2 linked regions of the Elephas maximus indicus genome follow. The protein of the gene in region 1 purifies or fractionates together with the protein of each later gene. This does not show direct contact. Links are inferred from orthologs where the notes say so. Each region holds a gene or a part of one and is shown on either strand. Other genes may lie near its edges.

Region 1 (15,347 bases):
CTGTGTGAATCATACCAAATTACGGATGTTGTTGTTGTTGTTGTTAGGTGCTGTCAAGTTGGTTCGGACTCACAGGGACCCTAGGTACAACAGAACGAAAACACTGCCCAGTCCTGTGCCATCTTCACAATTGTTGCTATGCTTGAGCCCATTGCTGCAGCCACTGTGTCAATCCATCTCATTAAGGGGCTTCCTCTTTTTCACTGGCCCTCTAATTTACCAAGCATGATGTGTTTCTCCATGGATTGATCCCTCCTGATAAAAGGATCATGTACAACACTGGGAAAAATAGGAATTCCAGAACACTTAATTGTGCCCATAAGGAAACTGTACATGGACAAAGAGGCAGTCGTTCAGACAGAAAAAGGGGATACTGTGTAGTCAGGAAAGGTGTTCATCAGGGTTGTATCTTTTCACCATACACATTCAACCTGTTTGCTGAGCAAATGATCCAAGAAGCTGGACTGTATGAAGAAGGACAGGCATCAGAACTGGAGGAAGACTCGTTTAACAACCTGTGTTATACAGATGACACAACCTTACTTGTTGAAAGTGAAGAGGACTTGAAGCACTTACTAATGAAGATCAAAGACCACAGGCTTCAGTATGGATTACACCTCAACATAAAGAAACAAAAATCCTCACAACTGCACCAATAAGCAACATCATGATAAATGGAGAAAATATCGAAGTTGTCAAGGATTTCATTTTACTTGGATCCACAATCAATACCCATGGAAGCAGCAGTCAAGAAGTCAAATGATGTGTTGCATTAGGCAAATCTGCTGCAAAAGACCTCTTTAAAGTGTTGAAAAGCAAAGATGTCAATCTGAGGACAAAGGTGCACCTGCCCCAAGCCAAAGTATTTTCAATAGCCTCATATACATGCAAGACTGGACAATGAATAACGCAGCTGGATGAAGAATTGATGCCTTTGAATTGTGGTATTGGCAAAGAATACTGAATATATCATGAACTGCCAGAAGAAAGAACAAATCTCTCTTAGAAGAAGTATAGCTGGAATATTCCTTAGAAGCAAAGATGGTGAGAATTTGTCTCACTTACCTTGGACGTGTTATCAGGAGGTACCAGTCCCTGGAGAAGGACATTATGCTAGGTAAAGTAGAGGGTCAGCAAAAAAGAGGGAGACCCTCAATGAGATGGATTGACACAGTGGCTTCAACAATGAGCTCAAGTATAACAACGATTGTGAGGATGGTGCAGGACCTGACAGTATTTCATTCTGTTGTACATAGGGCCACAAAGAGTTAGAGCCTACTCAACGGCACCTGACAACAATAACAGCAACATCTGGTACATCTAGATTTTCCAGAGAGAGCAAAGAAGATAGTCACATAGCTGACTTGGTTCATCATATGACACATTTCTTTAAATAAATAAAAAAAAAAATCTGTAGTACATATGAATGATATTTCCCTTTCATTGAGCTTTTCTATGTTTTAAGAGATAAACTTCTTTTCTCTTGGCAAATGTGCTTACTAATTAGTGAAACCTCTAATTAGTGGAGCATCTACTTTGTGTCGCACCCTGCTTTAGGTATTGTGAGTAAAACAAGTTAATGAGACATGTTCACTGTCATTAAGGATATTCTATAAGAGAAACATATATACCTTAAAGGTACACTAGTACAGGGAATATTAAAAAAATAAACCCACTCTAATTAGTTTTAGAGAAAACTAGAAACTATTAGGAGGATACAGGGGAATTTCGTGGAACTAAATGTAGAAAGGGCAGCCAGGTCTCACAAGTGACTGGAAACAAAAAATAGAAAGAATTGAAGAACTAAAGCTATCCCAATCATCCTCTCTCTTTTTCCCTCTCTTTCCACCAACATTTCTTTGATCTCTCATCTCCCTTTTCTATGAATAGCTGTAGATTGACTTTTTTTTATGCTCATGGGAGAAAATGGTTGCCTCAGTCAATATGAATTCCTAGTCTGTGTCACCAACAAAGACTCTGGAATCTCTATACCTTGAATACAAATTCCTAGGAAAGAAAATTGGTTGGTCCAGCTTGAGTCAGGTGTCTAACCATGCTACTAGGAGGCAAGATTACTTGACTCAAAGATGTCTAGAGAGAAATCATGGCAGACTCTGAAAAAGACCCACGGGCAGAGCAGGCAGATTGCTTTGCATGTTTGCCACATACACGAAAACAAATAAGGGACAGTCAACCCTGGTAGTGCTAGGATAGTTTGAATAAAATGCCGCAGGTGTGTTGATGAGAAAAAAAAAACCAGCTCCATATAGGGAGCTAGGAATATAGAATTATTTTATATTTGTGTATTTTTTTTTTTGTATTTTTCTTTCTCACTTGGAAGTGTCACTTTTATTTTTGTACATCAAGCAATTCAGCCAGTGCCTGGAGACCTGTAGGTCAATCAAGCACAATGGGCTCTGAGCCTCCCTCTGACTTGTCACGGACTCATGGGGTAACATTTCAATTTTTCCAGGACTTACATAGAATTTTACATTCACTGCCCTTTTTAGGCCTAGAGAAAAGAATATGGACACTTTAGGAAATTCTGTTCAATTTGGTAACTATTTGGCGCTTATTATTTGCCAGGCATAGAACTACTGTGATATAAATATTAAAAAGACACAGATAGGATTTAAGGGGTCTGGCATTTAAGCGGAAAGGTAAAGGATGCACATATAATTAAACTCAAGTCACACCGTAATACACACAACAAGAATATTATTTAAAAAATTAGGAAGTCAGGAAAGAGGAATAATTGGTTATGAATGAGGGGGGCAGGAAAGGCTGGGCAGATGATGTAAGTTTGACTAGAGTCTTCAAGTGGAATTTTAAGAAATGGAAAAATGGGGGAAAGCAATTCTAGCCAGAAAAAAATAGCTAGGGCACGAACGAGGAAGAATGAGAGAGGTACATCAGTGAATAGGTGAGTTTAGCATAAACATAGTGTCTTAGGCTGGGTTCTCTAAAGAAACAAAAGCAGTGAAGTATATATAGAGAGAGAGAGAAAGAGAGCGCTTTTCCACTGTCTCTTGTCGACTACAGATATAGTTGATTTGATTCCTGTGCATTCCATCTGGCAAGGTCCACATATATAAAAAAAAAAAAGTCACCATTTATGTTGGGGAAAAAAGGTATTTGCAATGAAGTCGTTGGTCTCGCACAGTTCTATCATGCAATCTCTGGCATCCTTTCTATCACCAAGGCTGCATTTTCCAACTACCAATTCTTCTTCTTTGTCGGAATACAAACTGAGATGCTTCAACAAACAGATGTAGCTCTGGAGGTGCTCATTCATCTATGCCAAGAAATTTGGAAGACAGCAGTCTGGCCAACTGACTGGAAGAGATCCATCTTAATGCCTATTCCCAAGAAAGGTGATCCAATCAAATGCAGAAATTATCAAACAATATCATTAATATCACAGGCAAGTAAAACAATGCTGAAGATCATTCAAAAATGGCTGCAGCAGTGTATTGAGAGAGAACTGCCAAAAATTCAAGCCAGATTCAGAAGAGGACCTGGAACCAGGGATATCTTTGCTGGTGTCAGATGGATCCTGGCTGAAAGCAGAGAATACCAGAAAGATGTTTACCTTTGTTTTATTGACTATGGAAAGGCATTTGACTGTGTGGATCATAACAAATCATGGATAACATTAAGAAGAATGGGAACGCTTAATTGTGCTCACGAGGAACCTGTACATAGATCAAGAGCCAGTTGTTCCTACAGAACAAGGTTATACTGCATGGTTTAAAGTCAGGAAAGATGTGTGTCATGGTTGTATCCTTTCACCATATCTATTCAATCTTTATGCTGCACAATAGTCTGAGAAGCTGGACTATATGAAAAAGAATGGGACGTCAGGGTTGGAGAAAGACTCATTAACAACCTGCAATATGCAGATGATACAACCTTGCTTGCTGAAAGTGAAGATAACTTGAAGCACTTACTGATGAAGATCAAAGACCACAGTCTTCAGTATGAACTACACCTCAACATAAGGAAAACAAAAATTCTCACAACTGGACCAATAAGTAACATCATGATAAACAGAGAAAAGATTGAAGTTGTCAAGGGTTTCATTTTACTTGGATCCACAATCAATGCCAAGGAAGCAGCAGTCAAGAAATCAAACAATGCATTGGATTGGGCAAATCTGCTGCAAAAGACCTCTTTAAAGTGTTGAAAGGTAAAAATGTCACCTTGAAGACTAAGGTGCTCTTGACCCAAGCCATGGTGTTTTCAATCACCTCATATGCATGCGAAAGCTGGACACTGAATAAGGAAGAACAAAGAAGAGTTGATATCTTTGAATTGTGGTGTTGGTGAAGAATATTGAATATCCATGGACTGCCAAAAGAACGAACAAATCTGTCTTGGAAGAAGTACAACCAGAATGCTCATGATATCAGGAGGGATCAGTCCTTGGAGAAAGATCTCATGCTTGGTAAAGTACAGCGTCAGTGATAAAAGGAAGGCCCTCAAGGAGATGGATTGACACAGTGGCTACAACAATCGGCTCAAGTGTTACAACACTTGTGAGGATGGCACAGGACCAGGCAGTGTTTAGTTCTGTTGTACATAGGGTTGCTATGAGTCGGAACTGACTCGACAGCTCCTAACGACAAGAAGAGAGAGAGGGTTTATATCAAGGAAATAGCTCATGCTGTTGTGGAGACTGGGAAATCCCAAGTCCTGGGTCAAGCTGGAGACTTCTGACTGACACAGCTGCAGGGGCTGGTGAACCCAAGATTGACAGGTAAGCTGCTAGCTCAAGTCCGAAGAACTAAAGGTCAGATGCAGGATCCCGAGTGAGCAAAAGCCAGAGAGCTTTGCCAGAAAGTCCACATATATTGGATGCAGGCTACAATCCCAGGGAAACTTCCTTTCAATTGATTGGCTGCTTATAGTAGATCTCATCACAGAGGTGATTACATTATATCAGATCTCATTATAGAGGTAATTACATCATTACAAAGCTGCTGAGCTACCTCATAACTGCCAATCCACTGAGAATCATGGCCTAGCCAAGCTGCTACACAACCTTAACCATCACGAATAGTGTGCAAGAGGGAGGGATGGTGAGAGATGAGACTGCAAAGGTGGGTTGGGGTCCAACTGAGAGCTTGAAAAGCTAAGGTGCTTGGTATTTATCCTGTAGACATCAAAAGATTTTCTACAGCTCAGTTCTGCATTTGAGAAGGATAGCTGTGATGCCAGTGTAAAGGGTAGATTGGAGAAGGGAGAGGAAGGAGCATGGAGATTTTATCCAGGGGACTGTCATAATGGCAAAAGATCAAAAGATCCTGAACTAAAAAGAGTAGCAAGAGAATGGAAAATAGGAGATGGTGCAGATAGCTCTGGTAGAGGAAAATAGAATTGATGTGATGTGGTGGCAGAGTGGCATGATGGTGGCCACAAGGGAGAGAAGCAAAGATGTCTGGTGGAGAGCAGCTAACAACAACAACGTACATGAAAATGAGATGACCAAAAAAGAGCAGGGCATGAGGATAAGAGAGCTCAGAAGGGAGCCTTGGAGAAAAACTCACATGATCCTCCTCCCCCAACAAAACTCCTGCCTAGAGGTAAGAGAAGGAAGAGTAGAAAGAACACAGGCTGCACTCTGTCCCTTGGTGGCTCTCAGAGTATGGTCCCTGGGTGTCTCCAAGACCTTTTTAGGCTAACATGTAGTGGGTTTATTATTGTTATTTAAGAATGAATTAATACAGAGATATTTGAAAAAATTCTCTATTTTAATGTCTTGAATAGTAAACATTGATAGATACATGAACAAAATTGTTTGGGTTCCTCAAAAATTTTAAGCATATAAAGGGATCCTGAGAATAAAGAGTTCGAGAAGCCTTGCTTTAGCTTTCCTTATTGCCTCTTCAGAATGTGCTGTCTAGCACAATTACACATAGGCAGGGTATTTCTTAAGAAAACTACAGCAGGGGTTCTCAAACTCTTTGGTCTTAGGAACCTTAGCACTCTTAAAAATTAATGTGAAAGAGGAGTTTGTGCTTTATTTCTTGGAATGTTTGCCTGTTCTGGAAAATATAGCTCCTGATTTATTCTGCACCCCATGCCAGCATAACATTAATTTGTCCCATTCTGAGCACAGAAGCAAAGCCGGGTGAATTTTCCTCTCCAGCGCCCAGAGACAAAGCACAAATTCCTGCCTCACATTAAGGGAACTATCCTGCCTCCCAAGCAAGAGACTGTTCCAAACACTTACTCACATTTCAGTGAGTCAGAAGGAAACAGACAGATATTCATCTCCCTGAAACCTGGCTGACTTCCTGCAAGAAGTCTGTGGAGAGAGTCAAGGTTGTGTGTCAGGGTTTGTGGGCGGTCACCTAAAAGCTCTCAGGTGATATCGGAGTCTTAGTAAGCAGGTGAATATCACAGACAACTCAGGAAAAAATGCCTTCAGGTGTTTGTCAGGATTAGTAAGTAATTACTAAGTGACAGATAAGAAAACAGGAAAGAACCTGGGGCTGCACATTTTGGGGTTCAAAGGAGTGGAGCTTACATTCATGCCTATAAGCAGTAGTGTCTGATAAATACTAATTTAATATTTAAAAAATACAAGATGCCAGCCCTAGTTACGATTAAGAGGACTGTTCTATTTTTACCAATTAACTCATTTTTTAAGCTTTTCCTTTCTGAACTATTCAGCTTCCTTTGGAAGTTTCCCAGGCATCCTCTTCTCCTAATAGTGGGTGCTCCATAAAACCTGCATTGACAATAGTAATGATTAAACTAACAACTCTAATTTATTAAAACTTTTGAATACTTCACAAAAGTGGTCCCTGGAAGAATTCTGGTTTCCCCAATTTGCTGGGAATTTGTGGGTGAACTTTCAGAAGAATAATCATATTTAGAGAAGAAAAGTGCATATCCCATTTCTTAGGTTTGTAAGTAAAAAATCTGAGATGTGGCTATAGAACGTTCTCTTTGATTACACTGTCTTATAAGCAAAGAGGAAGAACCACGAGTTCATATTTTTAAGAAAATCGCTTAAACTCAATTATCAAATCAGCTCCTTATTTATCTCAGGGAGAGGAATGAATGAGGATTTATAAGCCACACACATACAAACACACTGCGCACTTGCAGAAGGTCTAGCTTAAACACCACCTCCGATAATCATAACTTGGGTACAGATCTTCTTTCCTGATGAGTTAGTTTCTAACCTGGTCATTCTGTGCTTATTTTTGTCTGTTTCTCCACCCACTTTGGAAGCACAGAGAAAGCCATGCACTGAGCAGCAACTAAGAACTGCCTTGGGTACTTGCGGATCCCCAGCCCCTCCGGTGCCAGCCAGGAGCCTGGAACAGCGATGGGTTGCTGCGGGGCCAGGACTCTCCTGAGAGACCCGAAGAGCCTCCAGCGAGGTGCATCACTCTGTCAGGGGGCGGGATAGTAACAGGGCTGGTTCTCGCCATCACATGTGCCTGGCCAGTTCTGTCCAGGAAAGGCTGCCCCGCGCGCGGTCTCCATCCCCACCCACCTGCTTCCTGGATCCCAGGGCTGTACAAAGTCAGGCAGTTAAGATACGGCTGCCGGGGGTTTGGAGGGACAAGGTGCAGCCCGCTGGTCCGGAGGGTGGGGGATCCTCGGGGCGGGGCGGGGCAGATCCGGTGTTTGCCCAGGCGGGAGGGCTGGCCGGGGCGGGCCGGGGCGGGCCTTCGAGCCCCAGGAGCTGCCTGCAACTTTTTCCTGCTCTCACCCTGGCCGGGAAAGTCCTCCGCACGGCTTCTGGAGGGTCTCGGGGTTCTTGTATCCCTCGACTAAGGCGACCCTCTGCAAGCCCAGCTCACCTACAGTCCCCAGGGCCGAGCGGCATGCGACCAGGACGCGCGGAGAGCGAGCTGCTGCGGCTGCGGCTGCGGCTGGTACTAATGTTCAGTCAAGGTAAGCGCGAAGGCTCGCTGGGCATCCGCTGCAAGGAGTGTGGAGGAGAGGGGGGATGTGAAGAAGGGATTATGGGGCGCAGGGAATCAAGCAGAGTAGCCTCCGTTCTGATCCACGTGGAACCAGGCTCACACCCGTCCCGAGCCAGCTGGAGAGACGCCCATTCTTGCTTGCACTGGATCCAAAGTCTCCTCAAAGAGCTCTTTAGTTTTACACACATGCGCGCACACGCACACACCTGGAGGAAGTGGGGGTCATGGGGTGTCCTGGAGACCGCGAGTCCTGCACCCCAACTTTCCCGGGCTTTGGACAGGTGCAGCGCTTGACCAGGACTGGAGGTTGTGGGTCCCCGGGGTTCCAGTCTGGTCGGCCCCTTCATTCCATAGTTTCCCAGAGCTATGCCAGGTGGCTTGCCAGGAAGACTGGGAGCTCAACACGCTTATTTTCCGAGGTCTTTCCCAAAGGAATGAATAATCTCCCAGTTTTTACTTCAGGACGCAGTGCTGCTGTTTGCTCCCACAGGGGACTTAGAAAATCCAAGCGCCACTTAACCACTTGGCAGAGGAGAATTCTTCCTTCCCTTCTGCCTTCCTCTTATTGTTGTAACGTTGTCTGTTCAAGGAATGTAAACTTGGGAAAGGAAAAGTTCTTTCCACTTTCTTGAGCACAGACGCTGCAGCAAGAGGGGGAAGGGCCAACTACCCAGAGCAGAAGTTTCAACTGCCTGTGGTGGGAGTGGGGCCCACCTGCCGCCTGAGTTCTTTTGCACTAAGTGGAAAAATGAGACTGAGTGTTGAGCTGCTGTGCAGACCTTCCACAGTACTTTCTCCAAGACATTCACCTGGAGCCTAATGTGCACTTGGAGCGCCGGTGGCTTAGTGGTTAAGAGCGCCACTGCTAAATGTTGGCTGTTAGAATCCACCAGCCGCTCCTTAAAAACTCTGTGAGGCAGTTCTACTTTGTCCCATAGGGTTGCTATGAGTCTCAGTGGACTGATGGCAAAGGTTTTCTCTTTTTTTTAGTTTGTACTTAAGTTTTAGAATTTTAGTTTACTTGCCGGGGGCGGAGGGGCGGGGGCAGGGCCACATTTGTATCTTGCAGTTTGGAAGAAGTACAACCAGAACGCTCCTTAGAAGGGAGGATGGTGAGGCTTCTCTCAGGTACTTTAGACATGTTATTAGGAGGAACCAGTCTCTGGAGAAGGACATCATGCCTGGAAAAGTAGAGGGTCAGGGAAAGAGAGGAAGACCCTCAGTGAGAAGGATTGACACAATGGCTGCAACAATGAGTTCAAATATAGCAACTATTGTGAGGATGGCCAGGTCAGGGCAGTGTGTCTTCTGTTGTACATACCAGTCCCTGTGAGTAGCAACCTCCTCCACAGCACCAGATAACAACAGCAACAGTTTGAACATATACCTAAAAAAAAAAAAAAAAAAAGTTTTCTGTTTTTGCAAGTTCTGTAAATATTTACCAAGAATATAAATATTTCCTAATCCGTTCTCCTTTGAGGCTGACATTCAGCAGGCACTATCTTTATTGTGGAAGAAAACCCAGTTCAGGTCCTGTGACATTTTCTCTAGGTCAGAAATATGAAGAAATATGACACACAGCCCTAGCAGAGAATGGAACCTGTTCATTAGGTTTTCTGGCCCACCACGTTTGGTGTTTCACAGATACACTTTCCTGGGACTACATTCCATATGCGTGTGGTTGGGAGTTTATATGCAAATATACCTGCATGAATCCTTTGGTTATTCTTGGACAATGTTCGTATTAAAGTTTGGTTTTGTTATTCTTGAATTTAGCATCTTCATTATTCTCTCTTTTTTTCTCTCTGTTCATGCACGATTACCTGGTTATTTAGCCAGATTTCTTTAATGAGTCGTGTGCAGATGAGAAGCAATGGAAGAACTGAGTCAAAGGCAGGATGGCAAGGGATGAAAACCAGGCAACCAGAAAAAAATAAGATGACAGGTTCTCACTGTTCCCTGGGTTATGATCTATAGAAAATCACACTGAGATTATATAGGCCTGAAGGTTAAATTTGACATTTTACGTACCCAAATGTCAATTTCTATGTTACTCAGTTTTATTGAAGGGCAGTGTGTTGAGATGGCTTTCAGGAGAAGATGGAGAGAATCTCTCTGATGGAACCGACTCTGGTCTTCTCCTAAACACTAGAAGAAGTACATATAGGAGTTTTTTTTTTTTTTTTTTTTCTGAGGGGGGGATAGGGGAGGGCATTAACGCCAACCTAGGGATTTTGGATAAAGTTGGATTTTACGTTGAAAACCAGTCCCTGGAAGATCACAACCTTCCCAAGGGCAAATAGAAATATAAATCCAAGCTTTTCATCTCCCTTTAATTACCCAGTATTAGGAGAAGCCATGGAAACATAACATCATTTTCTTATCTTTGAAGTGTTGAGGCTTGTTCCTTAAAGAGCACTGAGAAATGCTTGAGTGGAAAGTGTTGCTGCAAGGCATGAAGTCAGGTAGAGAGACTTGAAGCTAGAGTGAGTTATGAAGGACAGCTCAAGGCACGCAAGCAGAGCTGATTTAAAATGATGTCTGTACAAATATTTTGTGTCTTTATTTCCTCCTTCTCCTCCAGGTATTTGTATACTCAAAGAACAGACTTTCTCTTCATTTTAAGATGACCACAATAAAGGTTTGTGACTTATGACATCAATCAAGGTCTTAGGGCAGCAGCATCATTTTTTTTTATGACATGATCATTCAAGGGTAACATAAATAATTGATATCTTTTATGGTATAACCCTAAAACTGAAATTTTTTATGGTATAACCCTAAAACCAAACCAAACCCGTTGCCATTGAGTTGATTGCGATTCATAGCGGACTGTATAGAACAGAGTAGAACTGCCCCATAGAGCTCCCAAGGAGCAGTTGGTGGATTCAAACTGCTGATCTTTTGGTTAGCAGCTGAGCTCTTAACCCAGGTGCCACCAGGACTCTGGTATAATCCTATCTGTATAATATTTATGAGCATTCATCATCCCTGTACACAAACACAGAAACTATAAACCCAAACCAAACCCACTGCCGTTGAGTCGATTCCGACTCATAGCGACCCTATAGGGCAGAGTAGAACTGCCGCATAGAGTTTCCAAGGAGCACCTGGTGGATTTGAACTGCTGACCTCTTGGTTAGCAGCCATAGCACTTAACCCCTACACCACCAGAGTTTCCTGCATAAACTATGTATAATTTACATGTATAATTGCATAATATAAACCCATACCAAAAACTAAAATTTAAAGGGTGTATGTGCATGTGTTTATACATGTTGCATTCTCTTCAGCCTGCATGCAAACCACCTTAGAAGCACATAACCCTCAAATTTTATTTTAGCACTTAGATTCAAATCTGTTTTCCATCAGCTTTCTTGCAGGTGTTTGTGAAAATGCGGCGCTCATAATTTAGTTCATCATTTATCATCTTTCATTGATTATTCTTGTTTTAAATGCTGACAATCACTGAAATGGTAACCGGGCAGGTTGAAGTTGGAAAAGAGAGACCATAAGAGGCCTGTTGTTGTCATTAGGTGCCATCGAGTCGATTCCTACCTCTAGCGACCCTGTAGGACAGAGTAGAACTGCCCCATAGGGTTTCCAAGGAGCTGCTGGTGAATTTGAATTGCCAACCTTTTGATTAGCAGCCGAGCTCTTAACTACTAGGCCGCCAGGGCTCTGTAAGAGGCCTAAATGAACTGTAAACAAAATAATAGCTGCATAGAGCAAAGGTAAATGTAATTTTAAAATACATGAAGTTACTTATATTCTCCAGTGTTTTTGGCAGGCCAAGGATAATCCTACCTGGGTTCTGGATCTCATTTTTTTTTTTTTCCCTATCTTTGGTACTCTATCAGCTATCTCCTCTTTGGTGTATAGCTTCAAATTCTCTCTCTAGTGTAAGTTTCTCTCATCATGTAAATATTTTAATTTCTCTTGTATATATGTATTTTTAAAAAGGCCTTTTTAATTTGGAAACTCTTTCCTTCTGAAACACCCCCACCCCTTGCTTCTGTTCTTTCTCAGTTGTCCTACTTTCCTGACTGTTCTGTCTCCTTCACAGGCTCATCTGATTGGCCTTTTCCTAGTTGGTGTTTGTAGAAACCCATGTTGGGTCGTCTTATTCATTCCACTGATTCTCTCTGGGCCTGTCCCCCTCTCAAGTTTGTACCTCCATCCAAACTCCTCTCTTGGGTCCCAGATCAGTATTTCCATCTGCTACCAAATATCTCCACCTAGATGTCTTATAAGCACCTCCAACTCAACAATTTAAACACTGAATTTAACACCTGTCCACTGAAAGTGTCTCCTAAATGGTCTTCTATTGTTTAATGGCAGTATCATCATGTAAATGTCAAGCTGGGACTGTGTCTCTTCTTTTCAGTTTCACAGCCAATCTCCAAATTCTATGCCTTCTGTTCCCCAACCTATGCATTTCTGCTACCACACAGCTCAGTCCCGCAGTTTTTTGTGTCTGCATCATCACCATTTTTAAACTGGTTTTTCTGTTTTCAGTTGCATACCTCTCTAGCTCATTCTTCTCACTGTCACTGATGTTATCTTTCTAAAGCACTTATCTGTATCCAATTACTTCCTTGTTTCAAATGTTTGATGGCTCCCATCTCCTGTAAACTCCAAATTTCTTGGCATGTTACAAAAACTCCTTTGCCATCTGGCCACAGTCTGCCTATTCAGGCCCTTCTCTGTCACACCCACTTCACATGCACACATGCACATACCACACAAACATACATATGTACATACCACATCCCAAAGCCATACATAAAACCAATCTATGTTTTGACTATGCTTGATCATATCATATTTAATGTTCAAAGATTTTCCAGGCCATTCCCTTTATCTTCACTGCCTTGATGTTTTGTTTTTTCCCTTCTCTGCATTTCAGTAAACAGTAATGAATATTAGAATCATGACCTTCCAATGGTCTTGCCTAAGAGGATCTTTAGGTTTCACTGATCAGCCCAGCTTTGTATAGAGACAAGATGCCAGTTATGCTGGGGAATATGTGTGTGTTGGGTGGTGAGCGTTGGGGAAGAGGAGAAAAAGACAGAAAGAAAGCAATAAGAAGAGCAGAGTCAGGACTTCAAGTTTATTATATCGCATACAAAACATACATGTTCAGGTTTTCGCCTGAACCCAGGTAGCACGTTTAGAAGACTAATCCATCCGTTTCCAACCAACCATTGTCCATTGTTAGAGGAAACAAGCCCAGGCAAAATTATAAAGTAGGGAAGTTTTCCTTTTGTAACAAAAGGGGAAGCTTGAGGTAACCTCTCATTTCTGGAACTCTTCATAAACCACTTCTGGCTTCTCACCCTCAGCCCTCAATGGGCTCAGGTGAAATTATGACAAGGTAACCCCCTCCCCCCATGGCTTTCCAGCTGCACCTGTCCAACTTCAGCTAAGCTTTGCTCTCTTTAATACTAGTTAACAAGACGCTATTTGAGTTAAATTCATTGAATAGGGCTCAGGATTTAGCATTTAAAAACAGTTGCTCAGGAAGTTTTGAATACAGCAAGGTTTGGAAGTACTTGCTTAAATATGCTCACTGTCCCCGCCCCCTTTCCTCACAAATGAAAATTCCAGAGTTTCCAGTACTACCTTGTTGTGAGATGACGACCAAGACAGGTAGATTTCAACACCAAGAGTCCGTGAATGGGTTATTTTAAATGAATTAAGTCTGAAGTGGGTGATGACTGCTCCCACTTTAATGTGCTAACAGCTCTGGGCATTTTAAAGGGGAGAAGCTTGGTAATGTTAAGGGGATGAACTTCTAATGATGGCATTTAAGACATTCAGCAAATTAAAGACACACTCAGTGTGTTAAAAACAAAGAATTTCGGGAAGAATGGGGAAGATATTTGGAATCAAAAGTATCATCCTGGCATCATCTAAATGCTACTACTAAAGTGACAGGGCCCAGACTACCAGACCTGCTTAGCTTGGAATATTATTGAAAGATTTAGCCCGGCATAAAAGAGGAGGAACCTTGCAAAGTTGTCACTCAAATCAGCAAGTCAAAGGTGTGGAGGTTTTTGTTTTGTTAGTTATATGGTGACCAGTGATTTACCTGGAAGAACATAGAGAAGAATTTTGATACCACAAATCCTGAGACAATAATAGATTTGGTATGTGAAAGTGAGTTCCGTGCCCTTTCTGATGATCCGTAGGTACTAGTGCTTTGTTGAGCTGGCTACAGTGAACTCCACAAAACTAGTATTTATCATATCCTTAAAAAAAAAAAAAAAAAAAATTTTTTTTTTTTTTATAAAGCATTTACTTTATGTAAGGGGATGTGCTAGACCCATTGTACAATCAGAACAAAACATCGTTCAAAGGTTGTCATATATTTGGAAACAAGTCCAAACACGAGAATGAAAATTGTCTAAGCCCTGGAGGATACCTAACCAATTTCAGTCCCTGCCTTTCTGTCAGAACTCCAATTACTTAGTTAACACCTTTGGCACAGCTAGGAGATCAGGGGGAAGGTGAGAGGTGGACCATGATTGGTCTGAGCCTATCACAGAGGTCCTGTGCTTCTTGCCGGTGTGTGATTTAGATACAGGATGTAACGCAGTTTTAGCCAGTGAGATTCAGGGGAGATCTTCTGGGAGAATTCTGGGAAAGGAATTTTCATTCCTAAGAGAGACACTGGTTAAGAAACATTGTCAGGTCTAGATGTGAAGCTTGGAAGAGCTACAGCATCTTGCAACCATGTTGTCAGCTAACTTGAGTATAAAGCCAATGTATTGGGGACGGCCTAGTGAAAAGATGGAAAGAAAGTTAGTCTTTGATGTTGACTTTAGGCTACTAAATTATTGAAATTTAAACCCTTTGTACCTCTGGGTGTCTGTATAGTTTAAGACATAGTTAAGCTGTGTTTCAGAACTTAGAGATGTAATTTAAGTTCCTGTAACATGATATATGTCATGTAAACCAGTACCAGTTGCTGTCAAGTTGATTTTGACTCAGAGCAACCCCATACGTGTCAGAGCAGGACTGTGCTCCACAGGGTTAGATGTCTGTGGTCTTTCAGAAGTAGGTCACCAGGCCTTTCTTCTGAGATTCCTCTGGATGGACTAGAGCTGCTAACCTTTCAGTTCGTAGCCAAATGCTTAACTGTTTGGGCCACTAATTGCTAGATGAGTTGTACAGAACTAAGTGTTGAGTTCAGAGGACAGATAAATATCACTATGGCACATCAAAGTGTGAAGATTGTGGGGAGGATAAAGGATCATGACAATTCAGATCTGGTCTGTAGGACTTCACAGGTCACTGAGTCCATTCCTCTCCTTTTAAAATGGCTGTGACTGATAATATGGTAAAACAAGATAGAAAATAACATAACTAGGAGTAGGACCCAAGTCTCTTAGT
Region 2 (15,223 bases), on another chromosome or scaffold:
TTTGTACCTAATTTGTAATTTAATTTTGGTTTTTTGATCTTCAAGAGCCATGAGCACAAGGCATTTTATGTCTAGCCTTAAGTTGGCTTTGTATATGCTTAATATAATTTGAAATTATCACTAGATAAGTTATCTACAGTAACTTCTGTCTTAAAGAGCATTTGCACATTAATTCTGAAAACTTCTTTGGAGTTCTGAATAATGTAAGAGAAAACATAATTTAATATAGTTCAGCAAAAACTTTTGAACATCTTCTTTGTGTCAAGAACTTCTAGGTACTGTAGCCAGGTTTGTCCTCTTGGAGCCTAGAACCCATCAGGGAAGATAATAAACATAGTTACAAGTGAGGTGAGTGTTACAGCAGTGCCTCTGTTAAGGATCCAGTACCTGCCTGGGGGTCGTCATTGTTCTATAATCCTGTCGCATCTCACGCGTGGACTCTAAGGTTTTTGCAGACGCCCCCGCCTTAGGGAAAAGATGCTCACCTCCTATTCAGGCTGCACACCCCTTTTACTCTGAATGCCAATTCCCTGTTTGCTCTGAGGAGGCCTGGCTTTATCAGTTACATTCTGTCTTCCCTGTGTCTTTACCTCTTCAAGTCTGTCCTTAGCTCTCTTGCCTTCTCTTACAAAATGTTCTTTTCCTCACAACCTCATCCATTTTCATAAATTCATTACCACCTATGTAATGAAAACCTCCCTGCATGTCTGTAATTCTAACCGTGGCCTGTCCCTTGAGATCCAGACCCATAGGTCTTAACTTCCCAGTAGGTATCTTCCCTAGATTTCACACAGACATTTTATACTCGACATTTCTAAAATGAAACTCATCATTCTCCTCCCTGTGTGTTCCCTATTTGACAGTGATGGTTGGTCTAGGTTCCTTTCTTTCTCTCACCCTCCCTATCCAAAGCGACCATCAGATCCCACATTCCTTGTTGGTTGCTGTTGAGTCAGCTCTGACTCACGGTGACTGTGTACATCAGAACAAAACACTGCCTGGGCCTGTGTCATCGTCACGGTCTTTGGTATGTTTGATTCCATTATGGTGGCTGCTGGGCCTATCTCATTGGAGGTTTCCTTCATTTTTTTTGGCCCTCCACTTCATCACAAATGCCATCCTTTTCCTAGCAATTGGCTTTTCCTGATGACGTGTCCAAAGTAAGCAAGCCAAAATCTTGCCAACCTCGCTTCTAAGGAACATTCTGGTTGTATTTCTTCTAAGACTGATTTGTTTGTTCTTTTGGCATTCCACGGTATGTTCTGTATTCTTGACCAACACTACAACTCAAACAGATTTTTCTTCTCTGTTTTCATTGTCGACACCCACATGCATTTAAGGCGATTGAAAAGCCCACGGCTTGGGTTAGCTGTAGATCAGTCATCACAGTGACGTCTTTGCTTTTTAATACTTTAAAGAAATCTTTTGCAGCAGATTTGCCCAATGCAATATGTCATTTCATTTCTTGACTTTTACCTCCATGGATGTTGACTGTTGATCCAAGTAGCATGAAATCATGACAACTTCAGTTTCTTCTCCGTTGATCATGATGCTCTTTATTGGTCCTCTCATGAGAATTTTTCATTTTCTTCACGTTCAGTACTGAAGGCTGTATGTAGTCTTTGATCCTCATCAGTAAGTGCTTCAAGTCGTCTTCATTTTTGGCAGGCATAGTTTTGTCATCCACATATCGCAGGTTGTTAACGAGTCTTCCTCCAACCCTGATACTGTACCGTTTTTCATATAGTTTGGCTTTGTGGATTCTTTGTCTAGAGCACAGAATAAGTATGATGAAAGGATACATGTCTGCCGCATACCTTTTCTAATTTTGAACCACACAGTATCCCCTTGTTCTGTTTGACTGCTTCTTGATCCATGTACAAATTTTGCATGAGCACAAGTGTTCTGAAATTCCTATTCTTTCAATGTTATCCATAATTTGTTATGATCCACACAGTTGAATGTCATCATGTAGTCAATAAAACACAGTTAAACATCTTTCTCATATTCTCTGCTTTCGGCCAAGATCTGTTCGACATCGGCAGTGATATCTCTCTTTTCATGTCCTCTTCTGAATCTGGCTTGAACTTTTGCCAGTTGCCCGTCAGTGTACAGCTACAGTTGTTTATGAATTATCGTCAGCCAAATTTTCTAGCATGTGCTGTTAATAATATTGTCTAATAATTTCTGCATTTCGTTTGATTGCCTTTCTTTGAATCTCTTCCAGTCCATAGGCCAGGGTAGGTGTCTTTCAGATTTCTTGACATAGACAACTAAGCACCTCCAGTGTTGCATTTGTTTGTTGAAGCATCTCAACTGGTATTCCGTCAATTCCTGGAGCTTTGTTTTTTGCTCATGCCTTCAGTGCAGCTTAAACTTCTTCCTTCAGGACCGGTGGTTCTTGATCATATGCTACCTCCTGAAATGGTTGAATATGTACCATTTCTTTTCGGTACAGTGACTCTGTGTTCCTTCCATCTTCTTTTGGTGCTTCCTGCATCGTTCAGTTTATACCTGTAGACTCCCTCAGTATTGCAACTCGAGCCTTGGATTTTCTCTTCAATTTTTTCAACTTGAAAAATGCCGATTTCGTTCTTGCCTTTTGGTTGTCCAACCAAGCCTTTACATATTTTGTCATAGTATTTTAATTTGTAAATTATTGTAACCCACATTTCTGTCTCTTAAATACTTGTCTTCTTGTCCATTGCCAGTATGTGAATTCCGGTGCTTGTCACCTCTTACTTGAACCTTTGCAGTAAATTCTGTACCTGTTCCCTAGCTTCTGTCTTGCCACCCTTCCTCTACAGCAGTAGGTATTCTGCCCTGTATATGCAGTCATGTGATTACCCTGCCTGAAGTTTTTCAAAGTCTTAACTCTTCAGCATGGATGGCATTTAAGGCTCTCTGTAACCTAACCCCTCTCCCTGCTAATCTCAGTTCTTGTGATTTTCAATTCAAGTACTTTTAAGATTCTTTAGTCTTTTAGTATTCTAAAATACTCTGTTATGCTAGAAAATTATCAGGGTGAAATACTCCTATTTACAATCCCACCAATCAGATATAACTACAAATAATATTAAAAAAATTTTTTTTCTACTCTTTTTCTTCTGCAAAGAAAGAAGGCAAGAGAGAGAATTCCGATTTGGGGTGGCAGCACCCAGACATACCTGTTTAGGAATAAGATTAGAAAGAAGTTCCTATAGTTCTTCTCCGGATTCCTTGGCTTTGCATATGCACACCTTTTGCCTGGAGTAGCTTCTCACCACCTGGCTTCCTGCCAGGCGTGTCCTACTTCTCTTCGCTTCTAGTTGAAACACCACCATTTCCATCAAGCCTTTGAAGACTCCCAGGCAGGTTTAGGTGTCCTCAGTGCACTTTGTCCATACCTTCATCTCGGAAGCTGTCACATCCTATTGTAATTACTTGTATGTTTGTCTTTGAACTGAACTGAAAGTTCTTGAAGCAGGGATCTTTGTTTTTCCAGATCTGGCACAAAACCTGACAAAGTAGACTGAGGAAGAACTTCCAGAGAGATGGGGGGCCGGGGAGGGAGGGACGGGTAGAACCTAAGGGAATAGAGTATGTGAAGAAAGAATGATGAATAGTATTAAATGTCTTGTGTAAATCCTGTGGGTGGATGTATTCCAAGTATATTGTAGGCAGTCAAGAAACTTTTGAAGAAGGGAGTAAATGCAGAGCTTGAGATAAAGCCTGGAAAGTGTTCATTTGCAAGAACAGGTTCACATGCATGGTAGAGATTGGACACCAATTATAGATGGTGAAGGAGTGAGTAGGAGGTTAGGAAGTGGAGACAACCAATGTAGGCAACTATTTCCAGACCTTTGGTTATAAAGAGGAGAGGAAAGACAGGACTAGGACAATAGCAGGAAAGGCGTCTCTCCCTCTTGCCCCTCAAGATGAGCTGTTGTTGAGAAGCGCCATTTGTGGGAACTCCTTAGGGCATAGTTTCTCAGCGTAGGAACTGCCAGGAGTGCTAGAAGTGCAGGACTCCAGGCCGCACCTGCAGGGATTGTGATTTTTTAGGTCTGAGGTGGGCTTCCTTCCCGGGTAAATCTGATGCAGTTATTCCTTAGACCACACTTCCAGAAGTGCCTCCTTAGGCGCTTTCGAAATAAGGAGGCTGTTACCGCCTGCTTCTTCTTCCACTTCCTCACGCAGGTGCAGGAGGAATATTCAGTATCTTCGCAGATTACCAGGATCCGTTAGGGGAGGCTGTTTTGTCGTCTTAGTCATTTCTTTTTTACCATCCGGCTGTCTGCTGCTTGCTTCCCTCATGGCCACTTCTGTGGTGTCCTCCAAGCCTCATTGTCCCATGGTTCTTCTTTGTTCCTAATTACCGTCTTCTGTGGCTTCTCCATTTCCCTGAGAGAAAGTCCGGCCTTTTATAGACAACACCAGCCAGTGACAATGCCTCTCTGTTTCTGGCCAGTGAGCTGACCAAAGTAGAGAGTTGAACTCTTAAGCTGTTCCCAGCTGTTTTCCATGTTACTCTCAGCTGTTCTTCACCGCGAAGGCCTTTTCTTGCTGCTTCTGGGTTTGGAGCTCTTCCAGAGGCATGAGCATTTCACAGAGCCCATCTTCAACTTGCCAAAGCTTATAGAAGGAAAAGGGCAATGGCATTTAAAGCAACGTTTTAAAGCTAGATAGCTTCAGAGTATTTGAAAACTTTATTTTAGTGGTAATTCTCTAAATTGTATGACATTGTGAAGGGTTTTTTAAGGCAGGTTAGTTTCATTAAAGTAGCCTGAATAGTATCCTAAAGAAGCATGCATCAGCCCATACATGGAGCAGATGTTTGTTCTGTTCACTTTGTGTGGAAGCTGTTCAGATGCTGCATTCATCACGGTGATGCCTTTCCTCAGCGTTCCATGTCTTTTTAGTCCTTTCAGTCAGAGCTTTGGAATTGAAAACATCTGAATTGCCTAGAATTATAGTCCACATGGATTTATTGCATCTTAAACCTTTTAGGCAGGCCTTAAAAGGTTAATAGCTAGGTATTTCTCACTTTTGTGACACTCAGCTTTTGTTGGTCTCTTGGATGGAGTCACCACTGAAATGTAAGCAAAATTGTCAGCTTGTGGCTTAACAGGACTGGCTGATCTGCTCAGGATTGCAAAGTGGATGACTATGCGAGTCATTCTTGTGCCCTGGAAACCAGCATTTAACAGAGGAAAGCAAGTACCCCAGGGGTGCCCTGAAGCACAACTTAAAGGACTGTGGCTGTGGAACTAGCATCCTGGTATTTGTGCCCCTGAGATGGAGGCCTTTAAAAGAAATACTCATTTTTTAAATTAAGGTAGAATTCAGTTAACTTCTTCTTGCTAAGGGAAGTTTACCAAGAAAAAAAGAGTACCACACAGGCCATAATTATTTACATTGAGAAAGCAAAGAGAAGAAAAAAAGAAAATTAAAAACAAGAAAAACACTTTGCGTATACATTTTATGTATATAGGAAACTCTGGTGGCACAGTGGTTAAGAGTTTGACTGCTAACCAGAAGGTCCACAGTTTGAATCAACCATCCGCTCCTTGGAAACTATATGGGGCAGCTCTACTCTGTCCTATAGGGTTGCTGTGAGTTGGTATTGACTGGATGGCAGTGGGTTTGGTTTTTTTTTTATAATTCTTTGTCATTCTCAGGTCTCCGTGGTTGCAGTATATGTTTGTATACTTTTGTTTTTACATAGCTGTCATCATAATGTGTACTTTACATCCAGAATTATTATTTTAATGATGCTGCGTTTTATTACTTTTATGATTGCCTAATAGTTCATCAGGCTGATACACTTAGCTGTTCCCCTGTTACTGGGTATAGGATGTTTCCATTTCTTCCTGTTGTAAATATACCATATAGTACTACATTGAACATTCGTGTGTCTGTGGGTGTATGTGTATATCTCCTTTTGTATTTTTATAAATCGTATTTTATTGTGTTTTTGTGAAGGTTTACACAGCAGTTTGGGTTCCCATCCAACAATTTCTACACATGTTGTTCAGTGACATTGGTTACATTCTTCACAGTGCGTGAACATTCTCATTATATTTCCATTCTGGTGGTTCTGTTTCCATTAGTCTAGTTTCCCTGCCCTTTTACACTCTCATCTTTGTTTTAAAGTAGTTGTTGACCGTTTGGTCTCATACAGGTGAGTTTTTTAAAGGAGCATATTACTTACGGGTGATATTCACTATTTTTTGAGCCAATCTGTTACTTAGCTACAAGGTGACCTCAGAGGTTAGTTTCGGTTCAGGGTTTGAAGAGTATCTCTGGGCAGTAGTCTCAAGGAGTCCTCCAGTCTCGACCAGTCTAAAAAGCCTGTTTTTTGTTTTTTAATTATCTTTTGTATTTTAAATTATTTCCTCAGTAGCTGGATTGCTAAGTCATGGGGTAGAAACATTTTTTATAGTTTTTGATATAGGTTGTTGAATTATTTCCCCCCAAATTATATGTTTACAAAGCTGCCAGCCATGCATATTGATTTTTCTCAGCCTTCTCTGCAGTGATGGTTTTAATGGGTAAAAAAAACATTTTTTCCAGCAGTTTATCTTTTATTGCTTTGTTTTATATTTCTTTGGTAACTAGTAAAGCTAAAATTTTACCCTTTGCTATCCCACACATACACATACACATATACCTATATATATATATATGTGCTTCTTTCTTGTATTTTTTTCTTGTGGGAGGGACAGATATTTATGACAAATTCTCAGGCTGGCTGCTAGTCCCAGTGCAGTAGTCAGATGATAGCCACAGTTTCAGCAACCAGGGGCTAGAGCCGTCTCTGACCAAATCTCCTAAAGCATAGCTTATTGACATTGTGAACTCTTGAATTCACAGAAAAGAGTTGTGTACGTAATGGTTGGGCATTCTGCTTGATAGAATATTCTGATTATTACTATTATAGATTACACCATTTTCAAATATTCAGAATCAAATATAAATCACTAAATCAAAACTATATAGACTTATTAATTTTTCTTTAGAGATTCTGAAAGGGACTCGATACATTCAGGGTCCTTTTATGAACTTTTCGTGGGTCTAGTTTGTGGATCTAGAAAATGTAGGGACTTGAACCGAATCTTTGACTAATTAATTCCATGCACAGAAGTTGATTTTTCTTAAAGAAAGCCATCAAATTCAAAAATTGAGTCAGGGCCTTGTGTAGGATGTTGGTCTTAACGCTGCTGAACGCTATACGTTGTACCATATATATGACCCATATATACACACACACACACATATATGTGTACCTATGTATGTGTGTGTATATGTGTGTATATATGTATAGTGTAGTGCACACTATAAACACTGATAAACCCCGTTGTTACAAGCAGGAGGATGACATGATGGAGTTTTTGAAAAGTTCACTCAAGCTGGCACTCAGCCTTGGAGCGACTGAGGAGTCTGGATATGCCTGTCTGGCTCCCTGGGAGCTGCAGGAGATAATAGAGATTATCTGGGACGAGACCTTGGATGGCGTTTATGGTGTTAGGGAATACTTGACACTATTATTCTTTCGGAGTGTGGCTAATAAAATGTTAAAACATATTTGACTGGAGAGAGGCAGGAACGGAGCCCAGAGACTTATGGAAGTTATTTTAGTTGTGTAGGTAACAGGTAGGGTAGTGGGCTGGGCGGGGGAGGTGGGTGATGAGGTTGTGGAGGGGTGCTGGAGAAGAAGGTATTGAGAGAGATTATATTTATAAAATCAACAGGCAGGGTGGCTGGGAACATTTTGTATTTAATGTATCTTGTTTTATTAATGATGTGCATTTTGTATTTCAGATGAATTTACAACTGATTTTCTGGATTGGACTGATTAGCTCAATTTGCTATGTGTTTAGCCAAACAGGTAAAAAAAAAAAAAAATGTTTCATAGCTGTGTTTTCAGTATCCTGTCTCATTCTTTGACCAAGTATATTCCAGGGAAAACCTAGGTCAGATCATGCTGCTCCTTCTGAAAGCCCTACACTGGCCCCATCGCACTCAGAGTAAAACGCAGAGTCCTTAAAATGGCATACAAGGTCCTGCACGGCCTGGCTCCGCCAGCAACTGCTGCCACCCGGTCTCTCACCTTATTTCTCATTCTCTCCTGGGCTTTTCTTATTTTCTCCTGGGCTTTCCTTGCTTTCGCTCAGAGGCACCAGGCATCCTTTTGCTTAGAGCCTTGGCCTTGGGTGTCTCTTCAGCCTGAAGCGGTGATCTCTCAGATATCTGTATGATTCTGTCCCTCCTTCAGCTCATGACTCAAATGTTAGCTTCTCAATCAGGCCTTCCCTGGCGATCGTATTTATAGTCGATTGCCCCTCCCCATACTTCCCTTTCCCTGCTTTGTTTTTTCTCCTTACCATTTATCTCTTTCTAACATGCAGTGTGTCTTATTTATCTTGTTTATTTGTCTGTCTCCCCTGCTAGACTGTAAGCTCCACGAGGGTAGAGACTTCTGTTAGTTTTCTTTACTGCTGTATCCTCAGTGCTTGGAATAATGTCTGGCACATAAAAAGGCTTCAAATAAATATGTGTTGAGTGAAAGAAGGATTCTACCAGTGTCCCCAGACAGTGATCATCACCCCTTTAAAGTTGCTCTGACCCACCCATTCTGGGGAGTAGGTCTGGATCAGCTTGGTAACTAGGCTTGTAGGCTTCATACTCGATAATCATATATGGTGCATTGTTTGTCCTTGCGATCCTGATTTTTCATTATTTTCTCTCTTGAAGCTTCAAGTAAAGGTGTCTGTTATTTCTTTTCCTGACAGATGAAAATAGATGTTTAAAAGCAAATGCAAAATCATGTGGAGAATGTATACAAGCAGGGCCAAATTGTGGATGGTGTACAAATTTAGTAAGTAAGATTGTTTGAGTCTTTACTATGTTTTCTCTAGTAATTTAGTACGTCCTTGGGACGTAGCAGATAGGAATTTTCATTTAAAACAATCTTTAATGAATAAGTGTTATCTGTGTGTAAAGTATAAGGCTCTGGTGGTACAGTGATTAAGCCCTTAGCTGCTGAGAAGTTGGTGGTTCAAACCTACCAGCTACTCTGCAGGAGAAAGATGTGGTAGGCGGCTTCCGTAAAGATGACAGCTTTGGAAGCCCTGTGGGCAGTTCTTCTGTGTCCTATAGGGTCACCATGAGTCGGGGTCAACTCGACAGCAATGGGTTTTTTTAACGTGTGAAAGACTGTGGTGGTCTAGAGCTGTGTGTTGAGCCTGGCAGCCACCAGTCACATGTGTCTAGTGAGCACTTGAAGTGTGGATGGTCTACACTAAGAATGTTGTAAGGCTCAAATACATACCAGATTTCGAAGACTTAGTATAAAAATGCTCACTAAATTTTGTTAAGGTGATTACGTGTTGAAATGATAATACTTTAGATCCATTATTAAAGTGAATTTCCCTTGTTTCTTTTTAGTGTGACTACTAGAAAATTTTACATTAACTTCTGTGGCTTGTCCATTTGGTTGGCATTATATTTTTATTGGACTGCTTCCCGTAAAACACTAGGCCTTTAGGTTTAGACTGCTATAGATTTTTCTCCTTTTTTGAGGGGGGAAGGTACAAATGAACTTGCACAATTATATTTGATGTAAACTAACACAGAATTGATTGTATCCTAATATAAACTCAGTGACGGTAGGGTTTGAATTTTATTCACTGTTATTCTCTAAATAACTAAGCCTTTGATGCTTTGAGGCATAATTTTTAAATTATTGAATGCTATTTTGGAGTATGTTTAGTGGAATTTTATTTAGGTGTTGATTATAATCTTAAAGTTTCCTGTATTGGCACATATTTGGGAATGTGTAATTTACTAGTTTCCTTTGGTGTAGTATCTTAGGTTTGATGATAGCGTGGGTTTGAACCATCTGGCCCTTGGTTTTCCTTTCCATTTATTTCTCTAATTTCATATGTGCTCTTATCAGTGTTTGTTTCCCTTAAAAAAAAAATTTTTTTTTAATTTAAATATACTTACTTTATACAGCACTGTGAAACTGGTAGGTAATAAACACCATGTTTGACTGAACACAATGTGATCCCAAATAAATGGCAATCCTCCATTTCCCCCAAGTCAACATTAGAAAAAGTTTTTGGCCTACTAAATAAATAATTTTTAGGGATATATGTGACATAGTTGTCAAATGTCTACTTATAATAATTTATTGATAATACTTTTATGATTTATATTTACATATTTTAAAATGACATACATGTATACACACATAAATACTAATGTCATTTTTTTCCCACTCTCGAATTTCATGATAACGTTTTATTTAAAACCTTTACGTATGTCTTTTACATCTGTGCTTTTGTTTTCATGAAGGTACTTTTTGAGTCATCTGATAACGTTTTTGCTTTTATCTCAGTTTGAAGTAGAGCACGTTTTGAATTCCTGTCATTACTGAAATTCTGCCTCCAAGCCATAAGTATCCATTCACTTGTATACCATTAAGACTTTTTTTTTTTTAAAATCACCCTGTGGAAATATGTTCACGACCCTTGCCTTATAATTATTTGGCTCTATTGCTTTTCAAAATAAATCTTAAAATGCTTGTTTATGGTAATAGGCAATGCTATTCCAGGAGAATACTTACTGAAATAAAATCTGTATTACATTTTTTGGTTTCCTTTTAAAAATACCATCATTAGTAATGTGCTTTCAGGCTAAAGTGTTTTCCGTACACATTGGCTTGTTCATAATATTGTAAATAAAGAGTGCAATATGAGAGACTTTATAAGGATTTTTCAAAGGGACATTTTGGGAAAAATATTAATATTTGGGCATATAATTAGTGGCCATTGACTATGTTGAATAAGTGATTTCACTGGAGAATTTCATTTGATAGATATTTTTAATTAGAAGGTAGACAGTTAAAATGTACACTTAGGTCAGTCCTGGAATGCTGTTACTTTCTAGGAAAGAATCTTGTTTGTTTTTAAACAAGAGTACTCATTATGGTTTGGATGTCGGGGTATTTGTTTAATAACAAGAAATGAGGTACATTAGATGCACCCGGTGTTGTTCTGTTTTGAAATTATGGTTATGTAAATCTTTGACCATTACACTTTTTTAATTTATACCTGTATTTTTTATGTCATTTAGACATTTTTACAAGAGGGAATGCCTACCTCTGCCCGATGTGATGATTTAGAAGCCTTAAAAAAGAAGGGTTGCCATCCAGATGACATAGAAAATCCCAGAGGCTCCAAAAATATAAAGAAAAATAAAAATGTAACAAATCGTAGCAAAGGAACAGCAGAGAAGCTCCAGCCAGAAGATATTACTCAGATCCAGCCACAGCAGTTGGTTTTGCAGCTACGATCAGGTACAGAAGTCTAGCCCTATGAATACTTTCATTTCTCCTTGAGTTTTTTCATCCGAACTTTATGTTAGCCTCTTCTCATTTTCATACGTGTGCTGGCACCCTAAAACATCGAGCAGGTTACATTTTAGACATTTTTTGCAGATATAACAATGTGTGTTGTGTCTGTTTGGAATAATATTAAATATTGCCTAATGTCCAGAGGGCATCCTGGTGGTACAGTGCTTAAGAGCTTGGCTGCTAACCAAAAGGTTGACCGTTCAAATCCACTAGCTGTTTCTTGGAAACTCTATGGGGCAGTTCTTCTGTATCCTGTAGGGTTGCTATGAGCTGTAATCGGCTCCATGGCGATGGTGTTTTTTTTTTTTTTTGGTGATGTCCAGAGGGAACCCTGGTGGTGCTGTAGGTCACTGTGAGTTGGAATTGACTTGCCAGCAGCAAATTTGGTTTTTAGTTGTCCAAAATCAATTCTGTCACAGGTTCAGAAAGTAATTAATTAGATTTAATGACTTTTAAAAATAACTTGAAAGTGTCCATCCTCTGGTATTTTATATTCACTTAATATAAAATGAAGACAATGTTTTAATAAAGTCTTCTACTTTATATTTGTTTAGTATTGTTAAAATATTAAGGTTTTTATAAGTATCTGTGGCAGTCTCTCATCTTTATAAAAAGAGAAAAAAAAAAAATTCTTTCTGTCCTTTGTAGTTGCCACCGTCTCCCTTTCTCTTTGTGTTCCAGCTCCTCAGGAGAATGGTGTGCTCTCTTTGTCTTCATGTCATCACTTCCCATCCATTCTTCAGCCTGTTGTAGTCATGCTTCGCTCTGTCTTAGGGTTCTCTAGAGAAATAGAACCAGTGACACATATAGATGTATGGTAGATAGATATATCTATATTTATATGTATACCTATATATATATAAAGGAATTAGCTCATGTGATTATGGTGGTAGGAGGGCTGGCAGCCCAAACCTATAGTCAGGCGGCAGCAGGCTGGAGGTTACTCCAGTCTTCTTTTCCAAAATCCATCGGTCAGGGGATGGGAAGAGTAAAGAGTGGAAGAGCTCTGGCACTATGTCTCTTTATAGCCTGGAGGCAGAATACACCCTGGGGAGATGTCCTGTTTCGCTCCTGAGACCTTCATCTGATTGGATGAAGTCCACCACCATTATAAGGGCCATCGACTTTACTTGTGGCCAGCTGATTTAATCCCATGACGAGTGTTTGACCAAACAACTGAGCAGCATAACCTGGCCAAGCTGACACGCAAAATTAACCATCACATTCTTCTAAACCTGTCCTGGCAAAGCTCTGCCATCACTTTGGGACCACCAATCTAGTAGACCCTTATTAAGGTCTTTTTCTCCTAACCTTGGTGTACCAAGTGACTCTCTGAACTTTTTGAATGCTTTTCTCTTGGCTTCCATGATACCACTTTCAGTTTTTCTTCTTATCTCACCTTTGCTTTCCGGCCTCCTTTGTGTGTCTTTTTTTATTCCCTCATTTCTGTAGTCCATTTTAATGTTGGTTTTTCTACATGGCTTTAAAAACAGTTTTTGTATTGATGACTCACAGATCTTTATCAGTAGCACAGACTTTGCTCCTAAGCACCAAACCTATTTATCAGCTGCCTACCAGAAATCTGTAAAGAGAAAAACGACAGGTTGAAATTTAGTCATTTTCTACCCAAAACTTCTCTTTCTCTTGTTATTTCCTGAGTTATCCCTAACATCTCCGTGTCTTTTCTCTCCTCTCCTTCCTCATTGTTTCAGTTCACATCTACATCTTCCTCTGGAATTTTTGCTGTAGTTTCGTAGCTGTTTCTGTATCTGTAATACGTTTCCAGAACTTTTTGCCCAGTTTTCTAAAGTAAAAAAATGTCATGTTAATTTGCTTACATAAAGTGACTTCACATTACAGGTGTACCTGATATGTACCCGGCTTTGCCCCCACTCTCCCCCCCTCTGATTTATGGGGTTCAGTCTGTTTGTGTTCCTCTCTCGTGTTCACATTGTTTATTGTCCTGCCTGCTGTGGACTGGGGATGCTGTCTTTTTCACCTTGTATCCCCAGAGTCTAGCATGACAAGTACTTGTTAAATGAAGTTGAATGGGCCTATTAGAGTTATGAATGGAGTTCCCAGTTTTTTGTTAAAAATATGGCATTCAATACATGTGTTTGTGTTTACCATGTAAATCTAGTCATTTGGTTTTTCTCATTTGTTTTTGATTGTTGACAAGGTATCTCTGTTTAAATTAGGTGAGCCACAGACGTTTACATTAAAATTCAAGCGAGCTGAAGACTACCCCATTGATCTCTACTACCTCATGGACCTCTCCTACTCCATGAAGGATGATTTGGAGAACGTGAAAAGTCTGGGGACAGATCTGATGAATGAAATGAAGAGGATTACTTCAGACTTCAGAATTGGTAGGAATGTTGGGAAAATTAATAATTTGCATATGTTTAAGGCTTGGTAGTTCTCAAAACCTTTTGATGTTTTTTCCCCTTGGTTCTTCACAACATACTTGTGAGGTAACTAGGCCAGTGTTTAGCCTTTTCTTTCTGTGAGGAAGTTGATATTTCCGTCACACAGCTTGAATCATTCTGCCTCCTGGTCGTTTGTTCCATCTGTCATACTGTCGTACTTGAGACAGGTTATACCATAGAGATAATGAAATGCATGCTTGTTTTCCTGGGAATTTATTTATGTGTTTGTTGGTTTATTTTATAAACGCATGTTAAGCAACAGCGTTCTATTTCACTGCTCATTGACAGGATCACACTACCTGTACAACCTGATCTCACTCTAGAGCTCGATCTTTCATTTTATATGCTCTTCTTTTCAAACCTTATTTTCCACATTTTATGCATCTTTAACTTAACCTCTTTTCTGACTTCTTTTCCATTCCTGGGCCAACAGAGGTTCAAAAACAGACTACTAGAAAAATTTGACATACTTTTTGAGGACCAAAAACTGCATTTCAAAAATTCGTTCTATTTCAGTGGGAACATTAACAAACAGAATCTCACTTGTTTAAAATGCTTTTTTATTCAGTGGAATAAAGCACAATGGAAGTAGGAAGCTCTTACTAAGTTAGTCCTTTTGAAGTGCTCAGAATCCCAGAATATACATTCATTCACTCATTCGTTTAACAGGCAGTTATTGAGAGCTAGTATGGTAGGAAAGGAATGTGAGTTATTTTTAAAGTGGATAGATGAAAGTAAAAGATTGACTTACGTGTGTAACATACTTGATTTTTTTAAACTGCAAGTTTATATTTATGTGTGTCTGTATAAAGTTGTATATGTCTATATAAATACACGCATTTTTCTCCTCACAGGGTTTGGCTCGTTTGTGGAGAAGACTGTAATGCCTTACATTAGTACAACACCAGCTAAACTCAGGAACCCTTGCACAAGTGAACAGAACTGCACCAGCCCCTTTAGCTATAAAAATGTGCTTAGTCTTACTGATAAAGGGGAAGTATTCAATGAACTTGTTGGTAAACAGCGGATATCTGGAAATTTGGATTCTCCAGAGGGTGGCTTTGATGCAATCATGCAAGTTGCAGTTTGTGGAGTAAGTACATTCATTTTCTACAAGGAGGTATTGTGTGTGTGAATCTTAGTGTAATTTTACTATTATTAGAAAAAAAGAGAATATAGACTTATTGTTGGCTAATTTCTCAGAAGTAGATCTTTAAGATTTTCTTCCTAGTCCATCTTAGATTGGAAGCTCCGCGGAAATCTATCAGCAGGACAGCAGCACCGACAGACGGCTAGTGGCTGGGCATGAGGTGCATTGGCATGGAAGGTGAGAATCCTGCCACTGAGCCACCACTGTGGGTCACAGTAGTCTGATCCCATAGCACATAGGGTT

The links.
Region 2: the proteins of ITGA2 (region 1) and ITGB1 purify together in Homo sapiens (co-immunoprecipitation; 3 studies listed by BioGRID and IntAct, with this or other methods). This does not show direct contact. The link is inferred for Elephas maximus indicus from reciprocal best matches to the Homo sapiens genes ITGA2 and ITGB1.

Annotation. Positions count from the first base shown.
Region 1 is NC_064820.1:55,933,926-55,949,272, forward strand, and holds the start of ITGA2 (integrin alpha-2), read left to right. Parts: upstream 1-7,693; 5' UTR 7,694-7,847; coding exon 7,848-7,917; intron 7,918-15,347. UniProt on the Homo sapiens protein: Integrin alpha-2/beta-1 is a receptor for laminin, collagen, collagen C-propeptides, fibronectin and E-cadherin. It recognizes the proline-hydroxylated sequence G-F-P-G-E-R in collagen.
Region 2 is NC_064822.1:6,448,471-6,463,693, reverse strand, and holds the start of ITGB1 (integrin beta-1), read left to right. Parts: upstream 1-7,803; coding exon 7,804-7,870; intron 7,871-8,774; coding exon 8,775-8,860; intron 8,861-11,121; coding exon 11,122-11,344; intron 11,345-13,599; coding exon 13,600-13,770; intron 13,771-14,684; coding exon 14,685-14,923; intron 14,924-15,223.